Mus musculus: one gene and its partner. The protein of the gene in region 1 interacts with the protein of each later gene in a pairwise test. Links are inferred from orthologs where the notes say so. Each region holds a gene or a part of one and is shown in the gene's direction. Other genes may lie near its edges.

Region 1 (3,674 bases):
AAAACTCTGAATCGCTTCTTGCCATAACTATTCTGGGTAAAAGATAGCTGTTATATCTAAACAAACATATTTTAGAACCTAGGAATGCCAACATGATATCTTAAATCTGTCCGCTTTAAGTGATGAGAAGGGCTAAGGAATTCCATTATTTCAGAACAAGAAAGATGATCAAATCTAAGGACTTCTGGCTTTGGAAGCTTCAACAATGGTCATTGTATAAAGGAGAGTTTGAGGAAATATCAGCTTTAGATGACCTCTCGATCTACCTTTTTATTTTTGGACACCAATATGTTGCATCTTATTCATGAGAGACTGTTAGGTATCGAAAAGAGCTGCATTTAAAATATATTGGGAAAGATTTGGATGTGCTCCCAACATGGAATTAGTCATTTGTGAATGACATAATTTAAGAAGTAGAAGATTTCTTATAAACGCAGAAGATGCAGTGAGCAGGGCAAAAAGGTAGTGGGAAAATATGAAAAATACACTGTCATAAAATGTGTATTAATAAATATGTTGATCATTTTCCACTAGAATCTTAACGGAAGCTTTAGATGAAAACAAAGTGACCTAATAGAAATGGAGAGCCCAAATCTATAGTTATTAAAATAATTCAAAACCAACAAACTGAGCATCCAATGATGAATGAATGCATATATATATATTTTATATATCCCTCATTTTCATGTGGGGCCTGGGGGATTTAAATTCTGGTTCTCATGCTTGAACTGCAAAAGCTCTTAACCACTGAACCAAGTCTCATTTTAATTAAAATTTTAAACTCCCATCAATTATGCTATATGAATCTACTACTTCTAGAACATTCAAATCTCACATGGATTTATCTCCAGTGTCTGTAACTACACTTTACATTCTTCCTTGTTTGATCTGCATTCAGATATGTAAGAATTTATCTCTATTAATAATTTCTCAATATTCCAATCTTAAACAACTCATCATCATCATAAGGTACAGCTTTCCAAAAGAAAAAAGAAAAAAAAGTCATTTCTGTTTCTCTTATTCTTTTGTAGAAAAACCAAAATCAAGAATTAAGTCTTTCTCCAGGACCTTCACATTTAATTTGATTTTGCACAAACTCAGTGTGTCCGAACTTAACTTCACCATCTCAGCTACATCTTTCTCCTTCAACTTGTTTCTTTCCCTACCATCATCTAGTTCTGTGCCATACAGGAGACCAGGAAATCTTTTACATAAGCCTAGTGGTACCCTCCCTTAGACCCCAGTGGTTGGGCTTTGCTGCTTCGCTCCTTTCCAGCCCTACCACCCTTCTGGCTTCCCAACACGCATGCGCAATATCGCATCAGCCCCGCCCGCCCGCTGCTGCGGAAGGCGCAGTGCTCAGTAAAGCGCACTTCCTCTGCTGGTCTCCACCGAGGGAGTGCCCGCTCCAAGAGCTCCAAGCCGCATCGGTCCTGCTCTGATCCGAAGGCGCAGACATGTCGGAACAAAGTAAGGACCTGAGCGACCCTAACTTTGCAGCCGAGGTCCCCGACTGTGAGATGCAGGACAGCGATGCCGTTCCGGTGGGGATCCCTCCTCCCGCTTCTCTGGCCGCTAACCTCGCAGGGCCACCGTGCGCTCCCGAAGGCCCTATGGCAGCCCAACAGGCCTCGCCACCGCCCGAAGAACGGATAGAAGATGTTGACCCTAAAATCCTGCAGCAGGCCGCAGAGGAGGGCCGCGCCCACCAGCCCCAGAGTCCAGCCCGGCCGATCCCAGCACCGCCAGCCCCTGCCCAGCTGGTGCAGAAGGCGCACGAGCTCATGTGGTACGTGTTGGTGAAGGACCAGAAGAGGATGGTCCTCTGGTTTCCAGACATGGTGAAAGAGGTCATGGGCAGCTACAAGAAATGGTGCAGAAGCATCCTCAGGCGCACCAGCGTCATCCTCGCCAGAGTGTTCGGGCTGCACCTGAGGCTGACCAATCTCCACACCATGGAGTTTGCCCTGGTCAAAGCCCTCAGCCCAGAGGAGCTAGACAGGGTGGCGCTCAACAACCGTATGCCCATGACAGGCCTCCTGCTCATGATCCTGAGCCTCATCTATGTGAAGGGCCGCGGGGCCAGAGAGGGTGCGGTCTGGAATGTGCTGCGCATCCTGGGGCTGAGGCCCTGGAAGAAGCACTCCACCTTCGGAGACGTGAGGAAGATAATCACCGAGGAGTTCGTCCAGCAGAATTACCTGAAGTACCAGCGTGTGCCCCACATCGAGCCTCCCGAGTACGAGTTCTTCTGGGGGTCCAGAGCTAACCGTGAAATCACCAAGATGCAGATCATGGAGTTCCTGGCCAGAGTCTTCAAGAAAGATCCCCAGGCGTGGCCTTCCCGATACAGGGAGGCTCTGGAGCAGGCCAGAGCTCTGCGGGAGGCTAATCTTGCTGCCCAGGCCCCCCGCAGCAGTGTCTCTGAGGACTAAAAAGGTCCAGGGGCACACTGATAGTTTCTGACCCATACTAGGGCTGTGTAAGGGTGGGGTTGAGTCATTAGAGTATCCCAAATCCACAGTGCAGTATTTCATGTATAATTTTTAAGTTTTCCATACAGTGCTTTTGTACCTTGTAATGCTATTCATTTGTGTACTCGTGTAGTGTTTAAGATTGATGCATGTGTGATAAGTATTTGGTACTTTCACTTTTGTGCTTTCGTGCATTTTTGTACAAGAGATGTGCTGTGCTAAACTTGTGAAATACATTGAGGTGTTCTGTATCTTGTTCTTTGTATGGGACTGATGATCTGTATCGACAAAGAAGGCCCTGGAGAGTTAGCAGGACTTAACAGCAACGCAGACCTGAGCAAGAGAAAGGTCAAGGCCTTTCTCCATATGACTTCAACTGGCACAGGAAGCATCCATGTGGAATGGACTGATTTGAACTGGACTGTTCTCAGTGTAGGCACTTAGCACCCTTTACAAAACATGTATGCAACCCCACCATAAATAAACGTTAAAATGAGCATTAAAGATACTGTGAAATAATTTCTTGGGGGGGGGGAGGAGGCATTTATTTTTGATGAAAGGGGGAGTGGGAATGGGTGGGGATGAGAAAGATTCTCCCTGTGTGCAGCATAAGCAAACACGGTGTCCTAACACAGTGGGAGACCACACGACCACTCAGAAGAAACTTGCAGTGCTTTAATCAATTTGTCACATAAAAGGTATAACAACAACAACAAAAAAGCTCATTATCACATAACATGGGGATAATAACAGGTATATGGAGGGCCTGCCCCTTTTCTGTTGCATTTTTTAAAATAGTCTTTGATGGACACTTTAGCAGAATAAACCCTTATCATGCATTTTCTTCTTTATTTTGTCCTCCCACCAGCCATAAGAAGTAAGGAATAACTGTATCATCACAGAGCAAGAAAAAATAAAAGGGGTGTTGGTAATGAACTATCCTAAAACCTTTATACAGGAGTCTTGACACCAAGCTCCCCATGGCCACCACTCACACACGCACTCTGGCCTCCCTGCTGTATGCATTAAGGGTTTGATTTTTCTAATTAATTCCAAGAGTTTCACAGAAAATTAGCTTCTGAATGTACAAATTAGGAAACTCGTTTCAGAAAGAATTGATGACCTAATCAAGTCCTTATCTTGCTAAGGGGTAAAAACAAGATCTGAAATTTCATCTTTCCAGAAGGATGAAGATGAGCG
Region 2 (4,475 bases), on another chromosome or scaffold:
AGGAATATACAGAATTAAGCTCCCTTCATCCTCTGTTTGGTCTCCAGAAGCGACCGAGTACAACTCCAAAAATTTCACTACTTTTTACTTGAAAACGGTAACCTCCCACTGTGCCATTTAAAGGAATCAGCAAGCCAGCGATACATTGAACAAATTAAACAAAACGCCAAATGCTTGCTTAAAGGTTTTAGTTATTTCTTACAAATCTGCAGTATCTCTTCGGAACTGCAGGCGCTCACAACGCGAGTATGAAAATGTTGCACCCACGTGCGTTTGGCGTGCCCACTCTGGTATCTGGGTGCTCCCTGAAGGAAGCCCATAGGTTCCTAAGTGTATCTATTATCTGTGAATTTCAGCAGGCTCCATGCAGCGTTCTCTTCCTGAAGACCACACCCAGAGCGGGTAGCCCTTTGCAGCAGTCTCTCTCTCTCTCTCTCTCTCTCTCTCTCTCTCTCTCTCTCTCTCCCCATCTACCTTCATGGCTTGTTGAAACCATCAGGTTGGGGTACCACACAGGTGTTAAAAAGAGGAGAAGAGGCTTTTGAGGCGTTGGAAGTATGAATAGCTCAGTGAGGATAAAGGCACCCTGAAGTTCTCCCGCGGCCGAGCGCGCCCGTCTTTTGCCTTGCAAATCTTTACCTGGCTGGTTCCAACCCCTCCTAAGCATTCCCGACTACATTTCTCACAAAGAAAGGGGAAATTCTATGAAAGGTGTCAGACAAATTAACTGCTGTAAAGGTTTTAAAATGCCAAAATGAACACCCGCTGTCCTGCGGTTCCAATGGTGTGTAGTGGTGCAATTTCCCTATGTATTGAGAAGAAGAGTAATACGGAAAGAAATAGAAATAAAAATAAAAGGAGGCAGGAGAAAGTGGGGCGAATTTAAGAAAACGTCAGAAAATAGCTACAAAGACATGCAAAACTTTTCCTGCAGTAATGCCGCAAGAACATTAGCTATTGTCAGCAACCCAAACGTGCTGCTTAAACACGAATCAGGGTGCTTGAGAGGGTCCCTGAGGCAAAAAGGGAAAGCTGGGAGTGGGGTGGGGTGGGGTGGGGTGGGGTGAAGGTGTCTTTGTGACATTGGATGTTAAAAGTTGATGTGTCAGTAGGGATCGCGAACCTTTTTATTTGGAACATTTAAGAGTCCTAGTGATGTGGGCTTTAGGTATTAAGAGGCAGGATGGGACGGGGGAATAGGAAAGGAAAAGAATAAGCAGGGAAGTTATGGGGGTCTCAGAGAAAGTAGGGGTCCTCATAGAAAAGCGGCCAGGCTGGAGCCGCAGCTCGCTAGCCTTCTGTCGTTCGCCCCCGCCTTTGCTTTTGCGCAGAATCCTCCCCTTGGCTGCAGCAACGCGCTGCCCCCACTGGCCTGCGCACGGCGATCGATCACAGTCTGCGTCAGAGTCCCGGCGTATAAATAGAGGTGGCAGGACCGCGCCGAGCCGCACACAGCCATCCATCCTCCCCTTTCCCTCTTCTCCCCCGTTCTTCTCTCTAGGTCCCCCATCTCCGCCCCGGGCCTGAGGGGCGCACCGGCCGCCACCATGAGTTCGTTCGGCTACGATCCGTACTTTTCGACCTCCTACAAGCGGCGCTATGTGGAGACGCCCCGGGTGCACATCTCCAGCGTGCGCAGCGGCTACAGCACGGCGCGCTCCGCGTACTCCAGCTACTCCGCGCCGGTCTCCTCCTCGCTGTCCGTGCGCCGCAGCTACTCGTCCAGCTCTGGCTCTTTGATGCCCAGCCTGGAGAATCTCGATCTGAGCCAGGTAGCCGCCATCAGCAACGACCTCAAGTCTATCCGCACACAAGAGAAGGCACAGCTGCAGGACCTCAACGATCGCTTCGCCAGCTTCATCGAGCGCGTGCACGAGCTGGAGCAGCAGAACAAGGTCCTGGAAGCCGAGCTGTTGGTGCTGCGCCAGAAACACTCTGAGCCTTCCCGCTTCCGCGCCCTGTACGAGCAGGAGATCCGCGATCTGCGGCTGGCAGCGGAAGACGCCACTAACGAGAAGCAGGCGCTGCAGGGCGAGCGCGAGGGGCTGGAGGAGACTCTGCGCAACCTGCAGGCTCGCTATGAGGAAGAAGTGCTGAGCCGCGAGGACGCCGAGGGCCGGCTGATGGAAGCGCGCAAAGGTGCGGATGAGGCCGCGCTCGCCCGCGCCGAGCTGGAGAAGCGCATCGACAGCCTGATGGACGAGATAGCTTTCCTGAAGAAGGTGCACGAGGAAGAGATCGCCGAGCTGCAGGCTCAGATCCAGTATGCTCAGATCTCCGTGGAGATGGACGTGTCCTCCAAGCCCGACCTCTCCGCCGCTCTCAAGGACATCCGCGCTCAGTACGAGAAGCTGGCCGCCAAGAACATGCAGAACGCCGAAGAGTGGTTCAAGAGCCGCTTCACCGTGCTAACCGAGAGCGCCGCCAAGAACACCGACGCTGTGCGCGCTGCCAAGGACGAGGTGTCGGAAAGCCGCCGCCTGCTCAAGGCTAAGACCCTGGAGATCGAAGCCTGCCGGGGTATGAACGAAGCTCTGGAGAAGCAGCTGCAGGAGCTAGAGGACAAGCAGAATGCAGACATTAGCGCCATGCAGGTATAGTACGGTTTAAGCTCAGTGGGGGTGGGGAGGTCCACGGTAGGGGCGGCGGCGGGGGGGGGGGGAGTCAGGGTGTACCCAGAGAGTGAACGCTAGGGGGTTCTAGAGCACAGAGCAGCTATCAGAGGGCTTGGCTTCCGAGAGGTTGTGGAAAGGATGGGGCATTTGGAGGGGGCGGGGCGCGACTGCTGCCTGGGGATTGCTTGTTCTGGTTGAATCAGGGTTGTTAGGGGTGAGTTGGGAGGAAGGGGCGGAGGGAGTCGGAGTTGGGCGTTGCCAAGTAATGCCTTCTCTTTACTGACAACCCTTAACTCCCAAGTTACCCTCAGTACTTCCTGGATCTCCTGGTTAATAAATATGCCTGCTAGCTCTCACTAGTTTTGGGCCACCCAGCCTTGGGATAGTTTTTTTTTTTAATAGGGACACAAGAATACAGTCACAATATTTTAGCAATTAATCACTGCAGTCCATTAAAAAAAAAGTTCTTCATCTTTGGCGGGGGGAAGCATTTTAGACAAACAGCTACACAAATATATATAATTTAATTTTTATTTATATATTTATTTAGACAAACACACACACACTATATATATATTCCCCTTCCCAAATGCGACCTGGCTAAAAGAAATGTGACAAGGGTGGTTAATAATAATAATAATATCATCATCAATTTGGTAGTTTTAAAAGACAGCTTACCATAATCAATTGAGAACAATTTTCAAAATTGTTCACATCAGTCTACTCCCCTCCTCTTCCTCCTCTCCTTCTCTTGCTTCACTAGACTGGGCATTTTAGGCCAACCCCTCCCCCTATGCCCCACCCCACCCCATTATTTTAAGGGAGATTTCTGGAAGGTGTACACTTTGGAGTTAACTAAGACCAGAACTTATCATGGATACTACAGTAAAACAAATGCAGTAGAGATTTGTGTTTTGAATTTTTTAAAACAATCTTCCTACAGGACACAATCAACAAACTGGAGAATGAGCTGAGAAGCACGAAGAGCGAGATGGCCAGGTACCTGAAGGAGTACCAGGACCTCCTCAATGTCAAGATGGCCTTGGACATCGAGATTGCAGCTTACAGGTAACATCAGGGTGGTGCTGGCAGTGGGCATGGCGGCTCAGGACAGAGCAGATGACCCAGTCAGTGCAGTTATAGTGAGTCCCACGTGCTCTAGAATAGTCCTACTTTGGTCTTCCTCCAAGAGGGTACAAATGTGTAGGGAATTAACCCTGAAGTAACATAAGCCCTGTTCTTAGCATTCATATTTTAAACCTAATAGGGATGCATAGAAGGTCTTTTTGGGTGGGGTCTCTCGTGAACTCCTTATTAAATTTTGATTATGCCTAACCGTATTTGTTCTTGTATTTGCCTTTGAGGTTGGTTGTAGAGGAAAGTAATGAATGTGGGCTTAGAGCAATGAACACATCCAGCCTTGCTCTAACTGTACTCTTCATTCCCTCTCCACCAGAAAACTCTTGGAAGGCGAAGAGACCAGGCTCAGTTTCACCAGCGTGGGTAGCATAACCAGCGGCTACTCTCAGAGCTCGCAGGTCTTCGGCCGTTCTGCTTACAGTGGCTTGCAGAGCAGCTCCTACTTGATGTCTGCTCGCTCTTTCCCAGCCTACTATACCAGCCACGTCCAGGAAGAGCAGACAGAGGTCGAGGAGACCATTGAGGCTACGAAAGCTGAGGAGGCCAAGGATGAGCCCCCCTCTGAAGGAGAAGCAGAAGAGGAGGAGAAGGAGAAAGAGGAGGGAGAGGAAGAGGAAGGCGCTGAGGAGGAAGAAGGTATGAAAAGCATTAAAAAAAAACCCTTTCAGAATCTCTATTGCAAATTGGCTGTGGATTTTTATTGGGAGATCCATGACCTAT

Evidence for each region.
Region 2: the proteins of Ndn (region 1) and Nefl interact in binary tests that used the Homo sapiens proteins (3 or more experiments, as listed by UniProt). The link is inferred for Mus musculus from reciprocal best matches to the Homo sapiens genes NDN and NEFL.

What each region holds. Positions count from the first base shown.
Region 1 is NC_000073.6:62,346,951-62,350,624, forward strand, and holds Ndn (necdin), read left to right. Parts: upstream 1-1,326; 5' UTR 1,327-1,457; coding exon 1,458-2,435; 3' UTR 2,436-2,978; downstream 2,979-3,674. UniProt on the Homo sapiens protein: Growth suppressor that facilitates the entry of the cell into cell cycle arrest.
Region 2 is NC_000080.6:68,082,416-68,086,890, forward strand, and holds the start of Nefl (neurofilament light polypeptide), read left to right. Parts: upstream 1-1,447; 5' UTR 1,448-1,547; coding exon 1,548-2,594; intron 2,595-3,558; coding exon 3,559-3,683; intron 3,684-4,071; coding exon 4,072-4,391; intron 4,392-4,475. UniProt on the Homo sapiens protein: Neurofilaments usually contain three intermediate filament proteins: NEFL, NEFM, and NEFH which are involved in the maintenance of neuronal caliber.